Saccharomyces cerevisiae S288C: one gene and its partners. The main gene of each other region encodes a partner of the protein of the gene in region 4 in a complex. Each region holds a gene or a part of one and is shown on either strand. Other genes may lie near its edges. The genes, in order: GCD1, GCD2, GCN3 and GCD6. A codon is read from its position in the direction of its gene.

Region 1 (4,172 bases), on a different chromosome or scaffold from region 4:
GCCAACTTACATATACACGTCATATCCAAAGATTTCCATTCGGTAAGATTGAAGAACAAAAAACATTATAATTCATTTAATACTGGATTCTTCATTAGTTGGGACGATTTACCATTGAACGGAAAAAATTTGGGCACTGACAAGGAAATTGAAACTACGTACCTGAAAGAACACGATTTACTTTGCTGCTATTGTCAGCGAAATTTTAGTAATAAATTTAGCTTATTGAAAAAGCATTTAGAACTAGAGTTCAATAGCCATTTCGAGCTTAAATAAGGCAAGCTTTCTCGCATTTCTTTTTGTTACTGATATACACATACCTATACATACACATGTCTTTTTAACATCATAATTTTTGGTATTCTATAGTGCCTTCCAATTTCTTAACTTCAGCTACTTTTCTTACGGCTTTCATTAAATCATCAGGGTTGATGTGATCACGGTCATCTCTTATGGCGAAAAAACCTGCTTCAGTTGCACAGTTACGAATATCAGCACCATTGAAACCATCACTCATTTTTACAGCAGCCTCGAAGTCAAATTCCCCTGTTTTTTTGACTTTTGCAGTATGAATTTTGAAAATTTCTAATCTGCCGGCCTCATTTGGCAATGGGATTTCAACTTTCCTGTCTAGTCTACCGGGCCTCAACAAAGCAGGATCTAAAGTATCTGGTCTATTCGTAGCCATGATGATTTTAGTCTGTCCAAGATTATCAAAACCATCCATCTGGGTCAACAACTCCATCAACGTACGTTGAATTTCACGGTCTGCTGAAGTACCTTCACTGAATCTTCTACCACCAATAGCATCCACTTCATCCATAAAAATGATGCAAGGTTCGTGTTCCTTTGCATATGCAAACATTTCTCTAATAATACGAGCAGACTCACCAATGTATTTATCCACAATACCAGACGCTGGAGAGAAAATGAAGTTGGCTCCAATCGTAGCAGCAACTGCCTTCGCTAGTAAAGTTTTACCAGTACCAGGGGGACCATATAGTAGCACACCCTTTGGAGGTTTGATACCGACCCTCTGGAAAATTTCTGGGTTCTTCAATGGTAATTCTATAACCTCCCTTAATTCTCTGATTTGCTCAGTCAAACCACCAATACCATCAAAAGTGATTTCACCTTGTTCAAAACTGGTCATATTATACACCAGTGGATCTGTCTCTCTGGGCAAAATTCTCATTATAGTCAAAGTGGTGATATCTAAGGTGACTCTCACCCCTTTCTTTAATTTAGAGCGATCTACCGAATTCCTAACTCCGACAATATAACGTGGGCCCGAAGAGGCCTTCACTATATATTTCTCTTCAGATAATTCCTTCATGACTTCGCCAATCAATTGTCCAATACTTTGCAAAGCTTTTATGTCGTTTTCAGTCTTGTCATATAACTTCTCTAGATCTCGTATATTTTGACGGCGCTGCTTCAATTGATCATCATACCTTCTGTGTTCTAGCAGCTTTCTCTTGAATTGATTCAAGGCCTTGTTATGGGCCTCCTGTTCAGGATCCACTCTAGAAGGCTCCTCTTCATGATGTTCTTCCGTTTCCTGTGGTTGTTCTGGTTGTTGTTCGTGTGACTGTTGGGTGTGATTGTCGCCGGACGTTTCCCCCAATCCTGCTAATAAAGGGTCCTGTTCTTCACTCATTCTTAGTTATTAATATCTTTGCTTCGTCTGTTATCTTTGGAACCGGTGCGAGGTACTAGATTTAATTTACTTCACTATGGTATTTCAAGCTTCCTTTCCCTTCGGTGGCAAATTCCACTATTTGAAAGGTCACCCGCCTATCGCAAAATTTTTCACTTCTCATCACTATATTGAAATATAACAATCAAGCACTTTACGATGCAACAGAAAATGCTGAACGCTGTGCTGACCAAAAGTTCCCACCGTTGATAGCTCCCCCCCCTATTGTCGTAGTCATGTCAATTCAGGCTTTTGTCTTTTGCGGTAAAGGTTCCAATTTGGCTCCCTTCACCCAGCCAGATTTTCCATTCCAAACGCAGAACAAAGACAGTACAGCTGCCACGAGCGGTGACAAACTTAATGAGTTGGTCAATAGCGCCCTCGATTCAACTGTCATAAATGAGTTCATGCAACATTCAACGCGCTTGCCCAAGGCTCTTTTGCCCATCGGTAATAGACCTATGATTGAATACGTCTTGGATTGGTGTGATCAGGCAGATTTCAAAGAAATCAGTGTGGTCGCACCCGTTGACGAAATCGAATTAATTGAAAGTGGACTGACTTCGTTTTTGTCCCTAAGAAAGCAACAATTTGAACTAATATACAAGGCTTTGTCAAATTCCAACCACAGTCATCACTTGCAAGATCCTAAGAAAATTAATTTCATCCCTTCGAAGGCAAATTCTACAGGTGAGTCCTTGCAAAAAGAGCTTTTGCCTAGAATCAATGGCGATTTTGTAATCTTGCCCTGTGATTTTGTCACAGATATACCTCCACAAGTCTTGGTCGATCAATTTAGGAATAGGGATGATAATAACCTAGCAATGACTATCTACTATAAGAACTCTTTAGATAGTAGTATCGATAAAAAGCAACAGCAAAAGCAAAAACAACAGCAATTTTTCACTGTTTATTCAGAAAACGAAGACTCAGAGAGGCAGCCAATACTTTTGGACGTTTATTCTCAAAGGGACGTCACAAAGACAAAATATCTACAGATCAGATCTCATTTATTATGGAACTATCCAAATTTAACAGTATCCACTAAGTTACTGAACTCATTCATCTACTTTTGTTCCTTTGAACTTTGCCAGTTGTTAAAATTAGGACCTCAATCAATGTCAAGACAAGCTTCATTCAAAGATCCATTTACTGGAAACCAACAACAGCAAAACCCTCCTACTACTGATGATGATGAAGATCGCAATCATGATGATGACGATGATTACAAACCTTCGGCTACATCTATCCAGCCTACCTACTTCAAAAAAAAGAATGATCTCATCTTGGACCCAATAAACTGTAATAAATCATTGAGTAAGGTTTTTAGAGATTTATCTCGTCGTTCGTGGCAACATTCGAAACCGAGGGAACCAATAGGTATTTTTATTTTACCAAACGAAACCTTGTTCATCAGAGCCAATAACTTGAATGCTTACATGGACGCTAATAGATTTGTACTAAAGATAAAATCACAAACGATGTTCACGAAAAATATACAGATTCAATCTGCCGCTATCGGTGCTGATGCCATAGTAGATCCCAAATGCCAAATCTCTGCTCATAGTAATGTCAAGATGTCTGTTCTCGGTACTCAGGCCAATATTGGTTCCAGATGTCGTGTTGCAGGGTCTCTCTTATTTCCTGGAGTCCATCTTGGTGACGAAGTAATCCTGGAAAATTGTATTATTGGACCTATGGCAAAAATCGGTTCAAAGTGTAAACTCAGCAATTGTTATATCGAAGGCCATTATGTTGTGGAGCCTAAAAATAACTTTAAAGGTGAAACACTGGCCAACGTTTATTTGGATGAAGATGAGGAGGACGAGTTAATATATGATGATAGTGTTATTGCTGGAGAAAGTGAAATCGCCGAAGAAACTGACAGTGATGATAGAAGCGATGAAGATTCTGATGATAGTGAATATACCGACGAGTACGAGTACGAAGATGACGGATTATTTGAGCGTTAATATAAACTTATGTATATTCCTTCAGTCTCTTTAATAGAGACCAAGTAAGTAAGTGGACGAGAATAGAGGCGATATTATGCATTTATATTTGAAATTCAACAGAACATAATTATGCTTAAGCAAATTAACATGTTGTATTAATACATAGCGTTTTACACATCTATTTCATATATTATGTTATGTTAATTTTTGAATTAATTTTTCTTGTTCTTTCGTTGGATCAATGGCGCAGTTGCTTCTTTGTCACCACTCTCACTCTCACTGTCATCAGAGACTTTTGATTGTTTGTCCTTTACTCTTTGTTCTTGAATTTTTTTATTTTGAATTTTGTTTTCAATCAAATCATCAAACGCGATAATTGACCTAACCAAATTGCTTATATATATAACCATTAATTCATCATTAGTTTTCACAGTTAAAGCCTTTTGTAAGTTATTTGAAATATTAATTCTGTCATGATTCTCCACATCTATTTCGTCATCATCAGGTGTTCCCAGATT
Region 2 (4,405 bases), on a different chromosome or scaffold from region 4:
CAAGGCCAGATACACTGTCAGAACTTTCGGTATCAGAAGAAACGAAAAAATTGCTGTTCACGTTACCGTCAGAGGTCCAAAGGCTGAAGAAATTTTGGAAAGAGGTTTGAAGGTCAAGGAATACCAATTGAGAGACAGAAACTTCTCTGCTACCGGTAACTTCGGTTTCGGTATTGACGAACACATTGACTTGGGTATCAAGTATGACCCATCCATCGGTATTTTCGGTATGGATTTCTATGTCGTCATGAACAGACCAGGTGCTAGAGTCACTAGAAGAAAGAGATGTAAGGGTACTGTTGGTAACTCCCACAAGACAACTAAGGAAGACACCGTCTCTTGGTTCAAGCAAAAGTACGACGCTGATGTGCTCGATAAATAATTTGGTCTCGGTATAGTCAGTGACAACATCAACTACTTAATATATAAGAACAAATAAAATATCCCAAAAATATCATATATCCTCATCACATTTGCAAGTCTAGCGCTTCGATGCGTTGTGAACACTTTGTCAATGTATTTAGTTGTATTCATACCCAATTTATTGGCACTTATTTGATACTCACCATGCAGGGTAATAGAAAATGTGCTGAAAAAAAGCTAAACCTTTCTTATTAAGAAAATGGGAACCATAACAGTGGTGATTAATGAGGGACCAATACTGTTGATAAGGGCATTGCACCGAGCAACGACCAACAAGAAAATGTTCAGAAGTACAGTTTGGAGACGTTTTGCATCTACCGGCGAAATTGCGAAAGCAAAGCTGGATGAATTCTTGATATACCACAAGACAGATGCGAAACTAAAACCATTCATTTACCGTCCCAAGAATGCTCAGATATTGTTAACTAAAGATATTAGGGATCCAAAAACAAGGGAACCATTACAACCGAGACCTCCCGTAAAGCCACTGTCGAAGCAAACGTTAAATGATTTTATTTATTCGGTTGAACCCAACTCGACAGAACTACTAGATTGGTTCAAAGAATGGACAGGGACCTCCATAAGAAAGCGCGCTATTTGGACGTACATCTCACCAATTCATGTTCAAAAGATGTTGACTGCGTCATTTTTCAAAATCGGTAAATATGCGCACATGGTAGGACTCTTATATGGTATTGAGCACAAGTTTCTCAAAGCGCAAAATCCATCCGTATTTGATATCGAGCATTTTTTTAATACTAATATCATGTGTGCTTTGCATCGAAATAGGTTGAAAGACTATAAAGATGCAGAAATTGCTCAGAGGAAACTGCAGGTTGCTTGGAAAAAGGTATTAAATAGAAAAAATAATACTGGACTAGCAAATATTCTTGTTGCAACATTAGGTAGACAGATTGGATTTACCCCAGAGCTGACGGGCTTGCAACCTGTAGATATTAGTTTACCAGATATCCCCAATTCATCAAGTGGCGCGGAACTAAAGGACTTGCTAAGCAAATACGAGGGGATATACCTTATTGCAAGAACATTATTGGACATCGATCAACACAATGCTCAATATCTAGAATTGCAAGAATTTATACGCCAATATCAAAATGCATTAAGTGAATCCAGCGATCCATACGACACGCATTTGAAAGCGTTGGGACTGTTGGAAACACCACCTCCTCAGGAATCCACCGAAAAAGAGGAAAAATAGTACCAAAACACCCCATAGGAAATATATAAATAAACATACCTGTAAATACTAAAAAGTAGAACACAGTTCGTCACATATATTGCTATTATTGTATTAATTATGTTTATATTTACCCGGGAATCTCTTCACAATTTTCAGTACCTCTCGCTTTTTTCCAATTTTTCAATTTTTTTTTTTCGAGTTTAGTGAAAATGAGTATTCTACAACAAGGCATCACCAGCTATAGATAATCAGCGTAAGTGCATAAGATCTTATTTTCACCACGTAAGAAATACGTTGTCAAAGAAGCGTCGATAATCAAATTGCTATGAGCGAATCGGAAGCCAAATCTAGGTCGGCTACACCGCCAAGTAAAGCTAAACAAGCTACTCCAACAACTACAGCTGCAGCTAATGGAGAAAAGAAATTAACAAACAAGGAGCTAAAAGAACTAAAGAAACAAGAAAAAGCTGCAAAGAGAGCTGCAATGAAGCAGGCTAATGGTATATCCATTGAACAACAGCAACAACAAGCACAAATGAAAAAAGAGAAGAAACAACTACAACGTGAGCAACAACAGAAAAGAGAGCAAAAGCAAAAAAATGCCAATAAAAAAAAACAAAATGAACGAAACGTGAAAAAGAGCACACTTTTTGGTCATCTGGAAACTACTGAAGAAAGAAGAGCGACAATTTTAGCTTTAACCAGTGCAGTATCATCTCCAAAAACTTCGCGAATCACCGCTGCTGGGTTGATGGTCCCCGTGGTGGCTAGTGCATTATCAGGATCTAACGTATTAACGGCTTCTTCCTTGATGCCCGTGGGTCCAAACGCGTCGTCTACTGTATCTGCATCAGCTCCAGCTTCAACAACAACGACTCTTCCTGCCTCTTCTGCAGCACTCTCTGCCGGTACCAGTTCTGCGTCAACAAATACTCCAACAGCTATACAACAAGAGATTGCTTCATCAAACGCTTCTGATGTTGCCAAGACATTGGCATCTATCTCGTTAGAGGCTGGTGAGTTTAATGTCATTCCCGGTATATCGTCAGTGATCCCTACCGTGTTAGAACAATCATTTGACAACTCCAGCTTGATATCGTCTGTTAAGGAACTTTTATTGAATAAAGACCTTATCCATCCGTCGATATTATTATTAACTTCTCATCTAGCACACTATAAAATCGTGGGATCCATCCCACGTTGCATAGCCATGCTAGAGGTTTTCCAAATTGTTATCAAAGACTATCAAACACCTAAGGGAACTACCTTGTCACGTAACTTAACAAGTTATTTGTCACACCAGATTGATCTTTTGAAAAAAGCTAGACCTTTAAGTGTTACTATGGGTAATGCTATCAGATGGTTAAAGCAAGAAATTTCATTAATTGACCCATCTACCCCCGACAAAGCCGCCAAAAAAGACCTTTGTGAGAAAATTGGGCAGTTTGCTAAAGAAAAAATCGAACTGGCTGATCAACTAATTATAGACAATGCCTCTACACAAATTGAAGAATCTACTACTATTGTGACATATGGTTCATCAAAGGTTCTAACTGAACTGTTACTGCATAATGCAATCAGTTTAAAGAAAAACATCAAAGTGATTGTCGTCGATTCGAGACCACTATTTGAAGGGCGGAAAATGGCAGAAACTTTAAGAAATGCTGGTGTCAATGTTATGTATGCACTTATTACAAGTTTGGATACGATATTCAATATGGATGTGGACTATGTGTTTTTAGGAGCCCATTCTATCCTATCTAATGGGTTCCTATATTCAAGAGCTGGGACAGCAATGTTGGCTATGAGCGCTAAGAGAAGAAATATACCTGTATTAGTCTGCTGCGAAAGTTTGAAGTTTTCACAAAGAGTACAATTGGATAGTGTCACATTTAATGAACTGGCAGATCCAAATGACCTGGTTAATATAGATTACGAAAATCCAGTCGAGAGACGCGGTAATAAAGGTGCGTTATTAAACCAATTTATCAAAGAAAGAAAATTTGAAAAGAAAAAGCTAGCAATGGAGAATAAGCCAAAGGGTAATAAAATTGGCGGTAAGAAAGGATCTGAAGGAGAAAGCAAGGACGCCAGTAATGAAGAAGACAGCAACAGCAAAAATATTTTGGATGGTTGGCAAGAGTTACCTTCGTTAAATATTGTCAACATCTTATACGATTTAACACCACCAGAATATATTAAAAAAGTGATCACTGAATTCGGCGCTTTGCCACCTTCATCTGTCCCTGTTATTTTAAGAGAGTACAAAGGTTCCGCATAAGCATATACAACATTCGTTAATGGTCGTCCACGTGTGTATACTACATATATATTATATATATATATATATATACATATATATATATATTACACCTAATACGATGAAAAAATACATCTAATGAAAAGAATTGTTTTTATCCTTAGCTTTCCAAAAAGCTTGGTATATATAACAAGATTTAGGCTAGAGAAATGATGTAATTATATAGGGCTATATACAGAGTAAAAGAAACAAAAACGGAGAAAAAAAGCAAGCAAAATGTTACTCTCAGTCATCGATATCGTTAGCTTCAGCAACCGCATCAGATTCGGCCTTGCTTCCAACAACTCCTTTAACGAAAGAAGCCACATTAGCAGGAGGCAAGATGGCAATCATTAATATAATATATTCGTAAATGGCTTCAGGAATGGATCTTTGGTAAATTCCCAATAAATCGGCTGGCTGAGGGTATACAGTCAATGCTTTATAAAACTTAGAGGCTGCTTCCAGTTCCTTACCTTGTT
Region 3 (4,516 bases), on a different chromosome or scaffold from region 4:
ATGTTGAATTTAGATACACCATTGTGCATACATCTTATTTTTCCCAAACGGTGTAACAATGCCTCGGAAACCTGATGACGAATTGCTAAAATAATACGGCATTGTACGGCACCAGGACTGGCAACGTAGCATTTCCAATATTATAATATTTTTACTCAATAACTGAAAAGATAATAAGAAAATTATAAAAGTAAAAAAATTCTTCCCCGCCAGGACTTGAACCTGGAATCTTCTGGTTCGTAGCCAGACGCCGTGACCATTGGGCCACGAGGAACAAGAATTATTAAGAGACATTAAAAATTGAGAACCCTAAGTATCAGCACTATTTATTGCATGATTTTTTACCTAATATAGTAGTTCAAATTACCAGACCCAACTAATCCTGCTCTAAGAAGTAAGAAATGTGTGAATTTTGAAATAATTGTTGGGTTCCATTGTGAATAAAAGCTATCATTGAGAAATGTTTGAATAATATGATAATTACTGGTGTTCCATTATTGTTGAAGGCTATGATACACAATATACTAAAAGTTCTCTTCGAGGATATTAGAAATGCGGAAGAAGGAATCGGTATTCATGAATAGTAATGTTATTGTCTCGTTTTTTTACTTTATATGCTTATTCTTTATCTTGTTACGTTATCAATGCTTGCATTTCAGCTTCTATTATATTTAATAACCGTTTCTCATTCTTAATGTCATCTTCTTACACTGTGTATGAGAACATACTGCTAATTTGTGTGCTAGTGCATAGATGGTAGTTAATTCTTATTCAGACAAAAAGTTTTAGTATCTGATCTGTTGTTAAACATGTTAGATAAGTATTTTTTGGAATAAAGATCCACTATCGTATATTGGCTAGCGGTCGTGACACTAATATGTTATTACATACTGCATAAATAGAATACACAAATCGTGAGGTACAGTCATCCAATGTTGTGGAAGTCGATACTCAAGACCTAAAGAAAAATAAAATTTCTGAATGAAAAACATAACGATAGTAAAAATGAGCGGTATGTTATGACATAGGAGATAGAAGAACAAAACTGATCTGATCAAATTATTTTAAGAATATTTTACTAGTATGTTTACTACATGACAATCTGCAGCAGTGCCAGCTACATGGTGATCTCTCCAAAACAGACCAAACAATTTGCGCTTGTATTGCTTTTCAAAATAAAACTAAACATATGTAATTGTGCTTACAAGAATTGCTAGCTATATCTTATGTTGGTAATAGATAACGATTAGTAATACCTTTTATGAGAAAGAATAAGGAGGCAATGCCATCATTTTCGCCACATTAAGAGTGCACGACTCTATCCAGGGAATTTGATACAACACAGCAACATTGTCGCCATATTTAAAGCTTTCTACATAGCATAATGTTTTTTTTTTTTTACAATAGATAAATTTCATCCGGAAGAAAAATGAAAAAAAAATGAAAAAATTGGTGAAGTTTATGGTGTAAAATGAGAATCATACTGCTCAAATAGTGACAAAGCCATCATTAATCATAGATTTCTTCATAGTAATTGATAGAAAGAATTTTAAAAGTCCTACGTATACCAGAAATCGAGAGGAAGGATGTCGGAGTTTAATATTACAGAAACTTATCTAAGGTTTTTAGAAGAAGATACTGAGATGACAATGCCGATTGCTGCCATTGAAGCATTGGTCACGCTATTAAGAATAAAAACACCAGAAACAGCGGCAGAAATGATTAATACAATAAAAAGCTCCACGGAAGAACTTATTAAATCCATTCCGAACTCAGTTTCCCTGAGAGCCGGTTGTGATATTTTCATGAGATTTGTCTTAAGAAATCTTCATTTATACGGTGATTGGGAAAACTGTAAACAACATTTGATTGAAAATGGCCAGCTTTTTGTATCGAGAGCCAAAAAATCGCGTAACAAGATTGCAGAAATAGGGGTGGATTTCATAGCTGATGATGATATCATCTTGGTACATGGTTATTCGAGAGCAGTATTTTCTTTATTAAATCATGCAGCAAATAAGTTTATTAGGTTCAGATGTGTGGTGACAGAATCAAGACCTAGCAAACAAGGGAACCAGCTATATACTTTACTTGAACAAAAGGGCATACCCGTGACTCTTATTGTCGATAGCGCGGTTGGAGCGGTAATCGATAAGGTTGACAAAGTGTTCGTTGGTGCTGAGGGTGTTGCTGAATCAGGTGGTATTATAAATCTCGTGGGTACCTATTCAGTGGGTGTTTTAGCACATAATGCAAGAAAACCATTCTATGTGGTCACTGAAAGTCACAAATTTGTTCGTATGTTTCCATTGTCTTCAGATGATCTACCTATGGCCGGCCCTCCTTTGGATTTCACACGTCGTACGGACGATCTAGAAGATGCATTGCGTGGGCCCACGATCGACTATACCGCCCAAGAATACATTACTGCATTGATTACAGATTTAGGGGTCCTCACTCCAAGTGCCGTTTCAGAAGAGTTAATCAAGATGTGGTATGATTAAAAAAAATCACATAATATATGCACGCAATGACTTAATAGAAAAGGAGAAAAAGCGCAAGAGCATCCTTTATGTGAAACTGATGTCTGATGCTGTTCTTTCTTCATGATGCATTATGTACTTCAAACTAGATTATCTATATAGTCTTCTTGTTTCTCTAAGGCTACTAAAGTTTTATCTTCAGCTTCTTTCACGATAGTATCTTTGAACTGTTCAAACGTGCCTTCTGCCCAGGTCAATTCAATATTAGCCTCTTCATCGGCGACTTTATGTGCCAGCAGGGAGCCAGTGAGTCTGTTTTGCGAAGGGTCGTTGACGCTCTTTACAGACATGGTAACCACTTGAGCGCGTTGTGATGAAGGATTAGGGTTCCTTCTGGCGTCCTCTTGCTTTCTTGTTACATTTGCGTCGTCGATATATTTGAAAAATGGCTTCAATTGTGCTACCCTCTCAATAGGTACCAAATAAACCTGCATATCTTTGACAAATGCTGCATATTGGCCATTGTTTTCCACACCCACGCCTTTTAATGTTTGGACATTAACCCCATTCCATTCGCTCTCAGCCTTATCCTTGTTATAGAAGGCCTGCTCATCCAAAGGAATATCTATTTCCCATAGGTGCGACTTGGGTTTATATCTTGCTGCAGAGATAAACGGATGCTCAGCAGGTTTGCGTCCTACTAGCCTTGGTCTATTAGCATACTGAAACACGTGCAGTGACTCCTCTTCTCCGGAGATCTTCAATGGAAACTCTTCGATCACTGGGTCATCCTCTTCTTCTTCACCAGTATCATCTTCAGCTTTTACTTCTTCGGATTTTTCCTCTTGCTCATTAGCTATAGCGCTGTTTGTTCCGTTCTCATCCGCTATCATATCAATGTCGTTAGATTCATCCTCAACATCAGCACGGTCCTGCGTCCTGTCTTCCTCATCCTCTTCAGTAACAAACAACTTGTTGTCAATACTCATCTATAACACTAGCCTATTCCACTTTCACCTTGCACTGCTTGAGCCAGATCATTTAAGCTCATCTCTCGCTTTTATCCATCTTTTGCATTCATTGTAACATTTCTTTTTTTCTTGAATAATTTTGTCAGAATACTAACCCTAAGGCCTGAAAAATGAACAGAGTTTTTATAAAATTTCAGTTTAAAATTGAATGTTGCCCTAACAATATGGATTAAAAACCCTGACATATTAGGTTTCCATTTTACTTGAAAAATTTGCGATGAGCTTAGGAAAATAAAAGATTGAGTACTTGTATGTGATATTTCTAATTTAAGAAAGTACGATTGTTTATATTCTTTTTCCTTTGGGATTATTCATATTCCAAATAAGCATACTTATTCAGCAATTTAACACCAAGATGAGCGATGAAGATTCTATGCTGTTAAACTTCACTACCAATGAGGACACTGCAGGAAGTTCCTATAAGCAAGCTGCCAAGGTGACAGGCGGTAGATGGAAGGATAGAAGAAGAATGAAAATGAAGCTTGAGGGCAAGACAGTCTCGAGGAAAAGAAAGGCGAACACTACAGGGGACGAAGGGATAATTCCGGGTAGAGGCGAGAATTCTATTAAAAAATTGCATAAGGAGAGTTCCTATAGTTCTGAAGAGCAGGAAAAATATAAGGGTAGAAATGCTCATAACACTCAAGGGAGAACTCTACCAGCCGATTCTCAGTTTGTTTCATCCCTGTTTACATCTAACAGAGAGATTACAACTGCGGTAAACACTAATATTCATGATGAAAACGTTGCCATCAATCCGTCTAACGCGCCCTTGAAAGGTGATCAGTTTGCGTCTTTAGGTGTCTCTAGTCTTCTTGTTTCTCATCTGGAGCAAAAAATGCGTATTAAAAAGCCTACGAGCATCCAGAAGCAGGCCATACCTCAAATAATAGGTAACGCGGGGAAGAACGATTTTTTCATTCACGCCCAAACAGGCTCAGGTAAGACTTTATCGTATCTTTTACCTATAATATCTACTATTTTGAACATGGATACTCATGT
Region 4 (5,701 bases):
ACCATTTTTTTCAAGGAATTTATGGAGAGTTCTGTTAGTATACTCAGAACCACGGTCCATTTGTATAACCAAGACACTGGCCTGAAACTGGTTTTTAATAAAAGCTAGTATCGTAGTAAAAACATCGAGGATAGAGTCCTCGCGACGGTCGTGTAATGGATAAACCCAACGGAATTTTGTTGTCTCATCAGTAAATGAGATGAAATAGGATGGTGCACTATTTGGTAGGTTGTGAACTGGACCAAATATGTCAGTATGTAGGTATTGAAAGGGTTCGTATGAATTTTGGTATTTTAGTCGTGAACCTTTGATATGTCTGTGTTTGGTGCTTTTGCCGATTAAACAATCAGGACATTGATAGTCAATAGCACTAGACCAGTCGACATCTGATTCGTTAAAATACGTGATGGTGTTATTTTTAAGTGAGTATCGAATTGTCTGTGCATTGGCATGCGCAAGCATTCGATGAATGAAAGGATAAGGATATTTGCGTGTACTTTCACTTGTATGGACATTATTGATGGTGGGTACGGAGATATTTGATGGAAGCAAGTACTTTTTAGATACCCAGTAAAAGTCTCCATATTTTACGATAGGTGCAAGTACAGTGCCGTCAGATCGTTCTAAGACGTTTTTGGTAAAGCATGCTGTGATATCTACTGCAGCCAATTCATTCAAACTGAGTAAGTCATAGGCTATGTTAGGAGTGTGCAATACCTTTATTGATGTTTTGGTGTTGTCCTGGAAGTGAAATTGTAGGTCACCAATAGCGTTAATTGGTATATTTCTTTTTTGAGCATCAACTACGTTTATGTCAGGATTAGATGATGCTGAGTGTATGTGATGAGCAGATCTTATAAGGGTTCGTGATGCTCCTGAATCGAGAAGGAGGTGTCCAGGGAGTTCATCATCAGAATGATTAGTATGATTTACTGTAGATTCAGTAAGTTTCTGGCCTAAGATGAAGGTCGTGCTTATTGTTCAATTGAATCGGTTCAGTAGTTGATTTACTGATGGAATCGTTGTCCGTGCTGGGAGAGTTAATAGATGTGGATACATTGTGAGCCCTGGCTGTTTTCGATTTCGAATTATTTGTTTTTTGAGGATTCCGAGCTATAACTTTGGGTTTGGTTGTATTCGTATAGCTGCGAGAATCATTCTTCTCATCACTCCGATTTCTCCTGTAATTAGGTTTGCTGTTTCTCGATCCCTGTTGTTCTTCATAAATAGCATGGATATCTAAGAACAGTTCAGCGACTGTCATATTTAGATGTCGATGACGTGTGTAGCGTAAAAATTTATATTCGCCAGATAGACCTCTCATAATTAATTGGCATGCGACCTTGTTATTGATATGAATGCCATTATTGTTCAGTCTGTCGATAATGTTTGTGACTTTTGTTTCAAATGCATCTGCAGGTGTACTGCCATTATATTGCAAATTTGCCAGGGTCACAATGTCGTTTGCCTCTTGGGTATCAGATTGCATTTTTTCAATACTTTTGGAAAGAATTTTCATGATATCCGTATAATCAACGGATAGGATGTCTTTGACCCAGGTAGGTAGGAATTGAGAGGGAGCAAATATTTGAAAAGTGTTATACAAGAAGGTGAGTTCATCATCAGTGATCTGACGTACGGGTTTTCCGTTTACTGTCGGAATAATACCACCGAGATTCGAGTTTTGTAAAAATTTGATGTATGTTTTAACCCAATTTGGAAAGTCATTAGGTGAGGTTAACATTGGTGGTGGTCTGACATATTTTTTAGTGGATGTCATATCAGAGTCCGCTGAGGATGAATCAGTAAATGTATTACCTGACTCAGGTGATGGAGTGCTCAGAGGCGTTCCAACTGATGATGGATACTGCGGAAACTGTGATTGTGGCCCAGGTGGAAAGTACATAGGCGACATTTGATAAGGTGTATACGGAATCATAGATGGGTGTCCGTAAAATGACCAACCAGATGGATTGGCTTGGTTTTGGGTCATCATGCACTGCTGTGGGTACGGCCCATTCTGTGGAGGTGGTACTGAAGCAGGTTGAGGAGAGGCATGATGGGGGTTCTCTGGAACAGCTGATGAAGCAGGTGTTGTTGTCTGTTGAGAGTTAGCCTTAGTGGAAGCCTTATCATATTCTTGAATTTTGGAAGCTGAAACGTCTAACGGATCTTGATTTGTGTGGACTTCCTTAGAAGTAACCGAAGCACAGGCGCTACCATGAGATATATGTGGGTAATTAGATAATTGTTGGGATTCCATTGTTGATAAAGGCTATAATATTAGGTATACAGAATATACTAGAAGTTCTCCTCGAGGATTTAGGAATCCATAAAAGGGAATCTGCAATTCTACACAATTCTATAAATATTATTATCATCGTTTTATATGTTAATATTCATTGATCCTATTACATTATCAATCCTTGCGTTTCAGCTTCCACTAATTTAGATGACTATTTCTCATCATTTGCGTCATCTTCTAACACCGTATATGATAATATACTAGTAACGTAAATACTAGTTAGTAGATGATAGTTGATTTTTATTCCAACAATGGCCTCTTTAACACTAATATCCCGACAATTTTCCCAAAATTCAAAGAATTCTCAGAAAGAGCTATTTTTTTTTTTAATAAAATTATTAGTACTAATTCCAGTATAAATAACAATGTTATTTACGTCTCTTTCGAAAATGCTCGTGTAGCTCAGTGGTTAGAGCTTCGTGCTTATAGCAACATTCGGTTTCCGAAGTTTCTGTGCCAAAGACCTTTCAAACAGGCCTTTAAAAGCAACGCGACCGTCGTGGGTTCAAACCCCACCTCGAGCACTTTCTCTTTTTTTTTCACACGCGTTTGCAACATGCCCGTATTACATGAGCTTATTTGACTTTAGATGGTTTTCAGTTCTTTTTTTTTTTTTTTTTTTTTTCAGTAGATTAATGCGAAGAGTTAAATCACCAATTCAAAGATGGCAGATGGACCACCTTGTGGGATAAGTATAAAAATAACTAAAAGTGGTCTTGTGTTAAAAATAGAATAGAAACCACTCATAAGGCAAAAGATGGCTGGAAAAAAGGGACAAAAGAAAAGTGGACTAGGCAACCATGGAAAGAACTCTGATATGGATGTTGAAGATCGTCTCCAGGCCGTTGTCTTGACAGACTCTTATGAAACTAGGTTTATGCCACTGACAGCTGTCAAGCCAAGGTGTTTGCTGCCACTGGCTAACGTACCTCTCATTGAATACACCTTAGAATTTTTGGCTAAGGCTGGCGTACATGAAGTTTTCTTAATTTGCTCTTCTCATGCCAACCAAATTAATGACTATATTGAGAATTCTAAGTGGAACTTGCCTTGGTCTCCATTTAAAATTACCACCATTATGTCTCCAGAAGCTAGATGTACGGGTGATGTTATGAGAGATCTAGATAATAGAGGTATCATTACTGGAGATTTTATTTTAGTCAGTGGTGATGTATTGACTAACATCGATTTCAGCAAAATGCTAGAATTTCACAAAAAAATGCATTTGCAAGATAAAGATCACATCTCGACAATGTGTTTGAGCAAAGCGAGTACCTATCCAAAAACAAGAACTATTGAGCCTGCCGCATTTGTCTTAGACAAATCCACCAGTAGGTGTATTTATTACCAAGATTTACCATTACCAAGCTCTAGAGAGAAGACTTCCATTCAGATTGACCCAGAATTGTTGGATAATGTCGATGAATTTGTCATAAGGAATGACCTCATCGATTGTAGAATTGACATTTGTACATCTCATGTACCTTTGATATTTCAAGAAAATTTTGACTACCAATCATTAAGGACAGACTTTGTTAAAGGTGTCATTTCAAGCGATATATTGGGAAAGCATATATATGCCTATTTGACGGACGAATATGCTGTAAGAGTTGAAAGTTGGCAAACTTACGACACCATTTCTCAAGACTTTTTAGGTAGATGGTGTTATCCCTTGGTCTTAGACTCTAACATACAGGACGATCAAACGTATTCTTATGAATCAAGACATATATACAAGGAAAAAGACGTTGTTTTGGCCCAATCCTGTAAAATTGGTAAGTGCACTGCAATTGGATCAGGAACAAAAATCGGAGAGGGTACGAAAATTGAGAATTCCGTGATTGGAAGGAACTGCCAAATCGGTGAAAATATTAGAATCAAGAACAGTTTCATTTGGGATGACTGTATCATCGGAAATAACAGTATAATTGACCATTCATTAATTGCCTCTAATGCCACGTTAGGGAGTAATGTACGCCTAAATGATGGCTGTATAATTGGTTTCAACGTTAAAATTGATGATAATATGGATTTAGATAGAAACACAAAAATATCTGCCAGTCCATTAAAAAATGCCGGCTCAAGAATGTATGATAATGAAAGCAATGAGCAGTTTGACCAAGACCTTGATGATCAGACACTAGCCGTTTCTATTGTTGGAGATAAGGGTGTTGGTTATATTTACGAAAGCGAGGTGTCTGACGATGAAGATAGTTCTACAGAAGCCTGCAAAGAAATAAACACTTTGAGTAACCAATTAGATGAGTTATACTTAAGTGACGATTCAATTTCTTCCGCCACTAAAAAGACAAAGAAAAGAAGAACGATGTCTGTCAATAGTATATACACGGATAGAGAAGAAATTGATTCTGAATTTGAGGACGAAGATTTTGAGAAAGAAGGTATTGCCACCGTGGAGCGTGCTATGGAAAACAATCATGATCTTGACACAGCATTATTAGAATTGAACACCTTGAGAATGAGTATGAACGTGACATATCATGAGGTGAGAATAGCAACAATAACTGCATTATTGAGAAGAGTTTACCACTTTATTGCAACTCAAACATTAGGTCCCAAGGACGCTGTGGTGAAGGTTTTTAATCAGTGGGGACTGTTGTTCAAGAGACAAGCCTTTGATGAAGAAGAGTATATTGATTTGATGAACATCATAATGGAAAAAATTGTAGAACAGAGTTTTGACAAACCGGATTTGATTCTATTTAGTGCATTGGTTTCTCTATACGATAATGACATAATTGAGGAGGATGTCATTTATAAATGGTGGGATAATGTTTCTACTGACCCTCGCTATGATGAAGTCAAGAAATTAACTGTAAAGTGGGTTGAGTGGTTACAGAATGCTGACGAAGAATCTTCCTCAGAAGAGGAATAAAAGTCCACGCAGTACCCTGCATAATCATGTATTACCATAAAAAGGCTTTAATATGAGAAAAAGGTGAGCGCTATATAGATTTAGTAATTTACATGTTACAGAAGCAAAAAGCAAATATATATATATTTTTTATCATATTAGTTTTTATCCTCAGTAGTACTACTGAAATAATAATCTCAGATTTTTTTTTTTCACTTGCCGAGGGACCTTGTCCTAAGTGGCAAAGAACTGAAAAAAAAAAAAATTGAAATGCGGTGGTATCACATGAAGAGTAAATAACTTAAGCAAAAGAGAGGCCACTGAGAGAGTACAAGAAAGGGACAATAACAATAGACAGAAGACTTTTATATTTGTAATAACTTAGCGATGTCCCAATTATTCAATAACTCGCGCTCAGATACCCTTTTCCTAGGAGGTGAAAAAATAAGTGGTGATGATATTCGTAATCAGAATGTTTTGGCTACTATGGCTGTGGCTAACGTCGTCAAGTCATCTTTAGG

What was found.
Region 1: the proteins of GCD6 (region 4) and GCD1 are in contact, whole or in part, in a cryo-EM structure (PDB 6I7T), measured with the Saccharomyces cerevisiae proteins. Residues at the interface, in NP_010497.3 of Saccharomyces cerevisiae: Pro175 (codon at 3,585), Lys176 (codon at 3,588), Lys189 (codon at 3,627), Leu200 (codon at 3,660), Pro201 (codon at 3,663), Leu202 (codon at 3,666), Pro203 (codon at 3,669), Ser205 (codon at 3,675), Arg206 (codon at 3,678), Lys208 (codon at 3,684), Thr209 (codon at 3,687), Ser210 (codon at 3,690), Ile211 (codon at 3,693), Gln212 (codon at 3,696), Ile213 (codon at 3,699), Asp214 (codon at 3,702), Pro215 (codon at 3,705), Glu216 (codon at 3,708), Asp222 (codon at 3,726), Glu223 (codon at 3,729), Phe224 (codon at 3,732), Val225 (codon at 3,735), Ile226 (codon at 3,738), Arg227 (codon at 3,741), Asn228 (codon at 3,744), Asp229 (codon at 3,747); in NP_014903.1 of Saccharomyces cerevisiae: Lys202 (codon at 2,539), Gln217 (codon at 2,584), Val225 (codon at 2,608), Thr248 (codon at 2,677), Tyr252 (codon at 2,689), Leu253 (codon at 2,692), Gln254 (codon at 2,695), Ile255 (codon at 2,698), Arg256 (codon at 2,701), Ser257 (codon at 2,704), His258 (codon at 2,707), Leu260 (codon at 2,713), Trp261 (codon at 2,716), Pro264 (codon at 2,725), Asn265 (codon at 2,728), Leu266 (codon at 2,731), Thr267 (codon at 2,734), Val268 (codon at 2,737), Ser269 (codon at 2,740), Thr270 (codon at 2,743), Lys271 (codon at 2,746), Asn308 (codon at 2,857), Gln309 (codon at 2,860).
Region 2: GCD6 (region 4) and GCD2 share a complex: the UniProt entries of both Saccharomyces cerevisiae proteins name them as parts of the translation initiation factor 2B (eIF2B) complex.
Region 3: the proteins of GCD6 (region 4) and GCN3 are in contact, whole or in part, in a cryo-EM structure (PDB 6QG0), measured with the Saccharomyces cerevisiae proteins. Residues at the interface, in NP_010497.3 of Saccharomyces cerevisiae: Glu321 (codon at 4,023), Lys327 (codon at 4,041), Val331 (codon at 4,053), Val332 (codon at 4,056), Leu333 (codon at 4,059), Ala334 (codon at 4,062), Gln335 (codon at 4,065), Ser336 (codon at 4,068), Cys337 (codon at 4,071), Ile339 (codon at 4,077); in NP_012951.1 of Saccharomyces cerevisiae: Asp122 (codon at 1,950), Phe146 (codon at 2,022), Arg148 (codon at 2,028), Phe149 (codon at 2,031), Arg150 (codon at 2,034), Ile174 (codon at 2,106), Pro175 (codon at 2,109).

What each region holds. Positions count from the first base shown.
Region 1 is NC_001147.6:812,049-816,220, forward strand, and holds GCD1 (translation initiation factor eIF2B subunit gamma), read left to right. Parts: upstream 1-1,935; coding exon 1,936-3,672; downstream 3,673-4,172. Other genes in the region: HNT3 (DNA 5'-adenosine monophosphate hydrolase), read left to right, coding at 1-276; proteasome regulatory particle base subunit RPT4, read right to left, coding at 347-1,660; proteasome regulatory particle lid subunit RPN8, read right to left, coding at 3,867-4,172. UniProt on the Saccharomyces cerevisiae protein: Acts as a component of the translation initiation factor 2B (eIF2B) complex, which catalyzes the exchange of GDP for GTP on the eukaryotic initiation factor 2 (eIF2) complex gamma subunit.
Region 2 is NC_001139.9:644,360-648,764, reverse strand, and holds GCD2 (translation initiation factor eIF2B subunit delta), read left to right. Parts: upstream 1-1,949; coding exon 1,950-3,905; downstream 3,906-4,405. Other genes in the region: 60S ribosomal protein uL5 RPL11B, read left to right, coding at 1-382; mitochondrial 37S ribosomal protein mS44 MRP13, read left to right, coding at 623-1,642; TOM complex receptor protein TOM20, read right to left, coding at 4,170-4,405. UniProt on the Saccharomyces cerevisiae protein: Acts as a component of the translation initiation factor 2B (eIF2B) complex, which catalyzes the exchange of GDP for GTP on the eukaryotic initiation factor 2 (eIF2) complex gamma subunit.
Region 3 is NC_001143.9:486,726-491,241, reverse strand, and holds GCN3 (translation initiation factor eIF2B subunit alpha), read left to right. Parts: upstream 1-1,586; coding exon 1,587-2,504; downstream 2,505-4,516. Other genes in the region: RPC37 (DNA-directed RNA polymerase III subunit C37), read right to left, coding at 2,624-3,472; DBP7 (putative ATP-dependent RNA helicase), read left to right, coding at 3,870-4,516. UniProt on the Saccharomyces cerevisiae protein: Acts as a component of the translation initiation factor 2B (eIF2B) complex, which catalyzes the exchange of GDP for GTP on the eukaryotic initiation factor 2 (eIF2) complex gamma subunit.
Region 4 is NC_001136.10:881,665-887,365, forward strand, and holds GCD6 (translation initiation factor eIF2B catalytic subunit epsilon), read left to right. Parts: upstream 1-3,062; coding exon 3,063-5,201; downstream 5,202-5,701. Other genes in the region: YDR210C-C (gag protein), read right to left, coding at 941-2,263; chaperonin-containing T-complex alpha subunit TCP1, read left to right, coding at 5,568-5,701. UniProt on the Saccharomyces cerevisiae protein: Acts as a catalytic component of the translation initiation factor 2B (eIF2B) complex, which catalyzes the exchange of GDP for GTP on eukaryotic initiation factor 2 (eIF2) and is regulated by phosphorylated eIF2.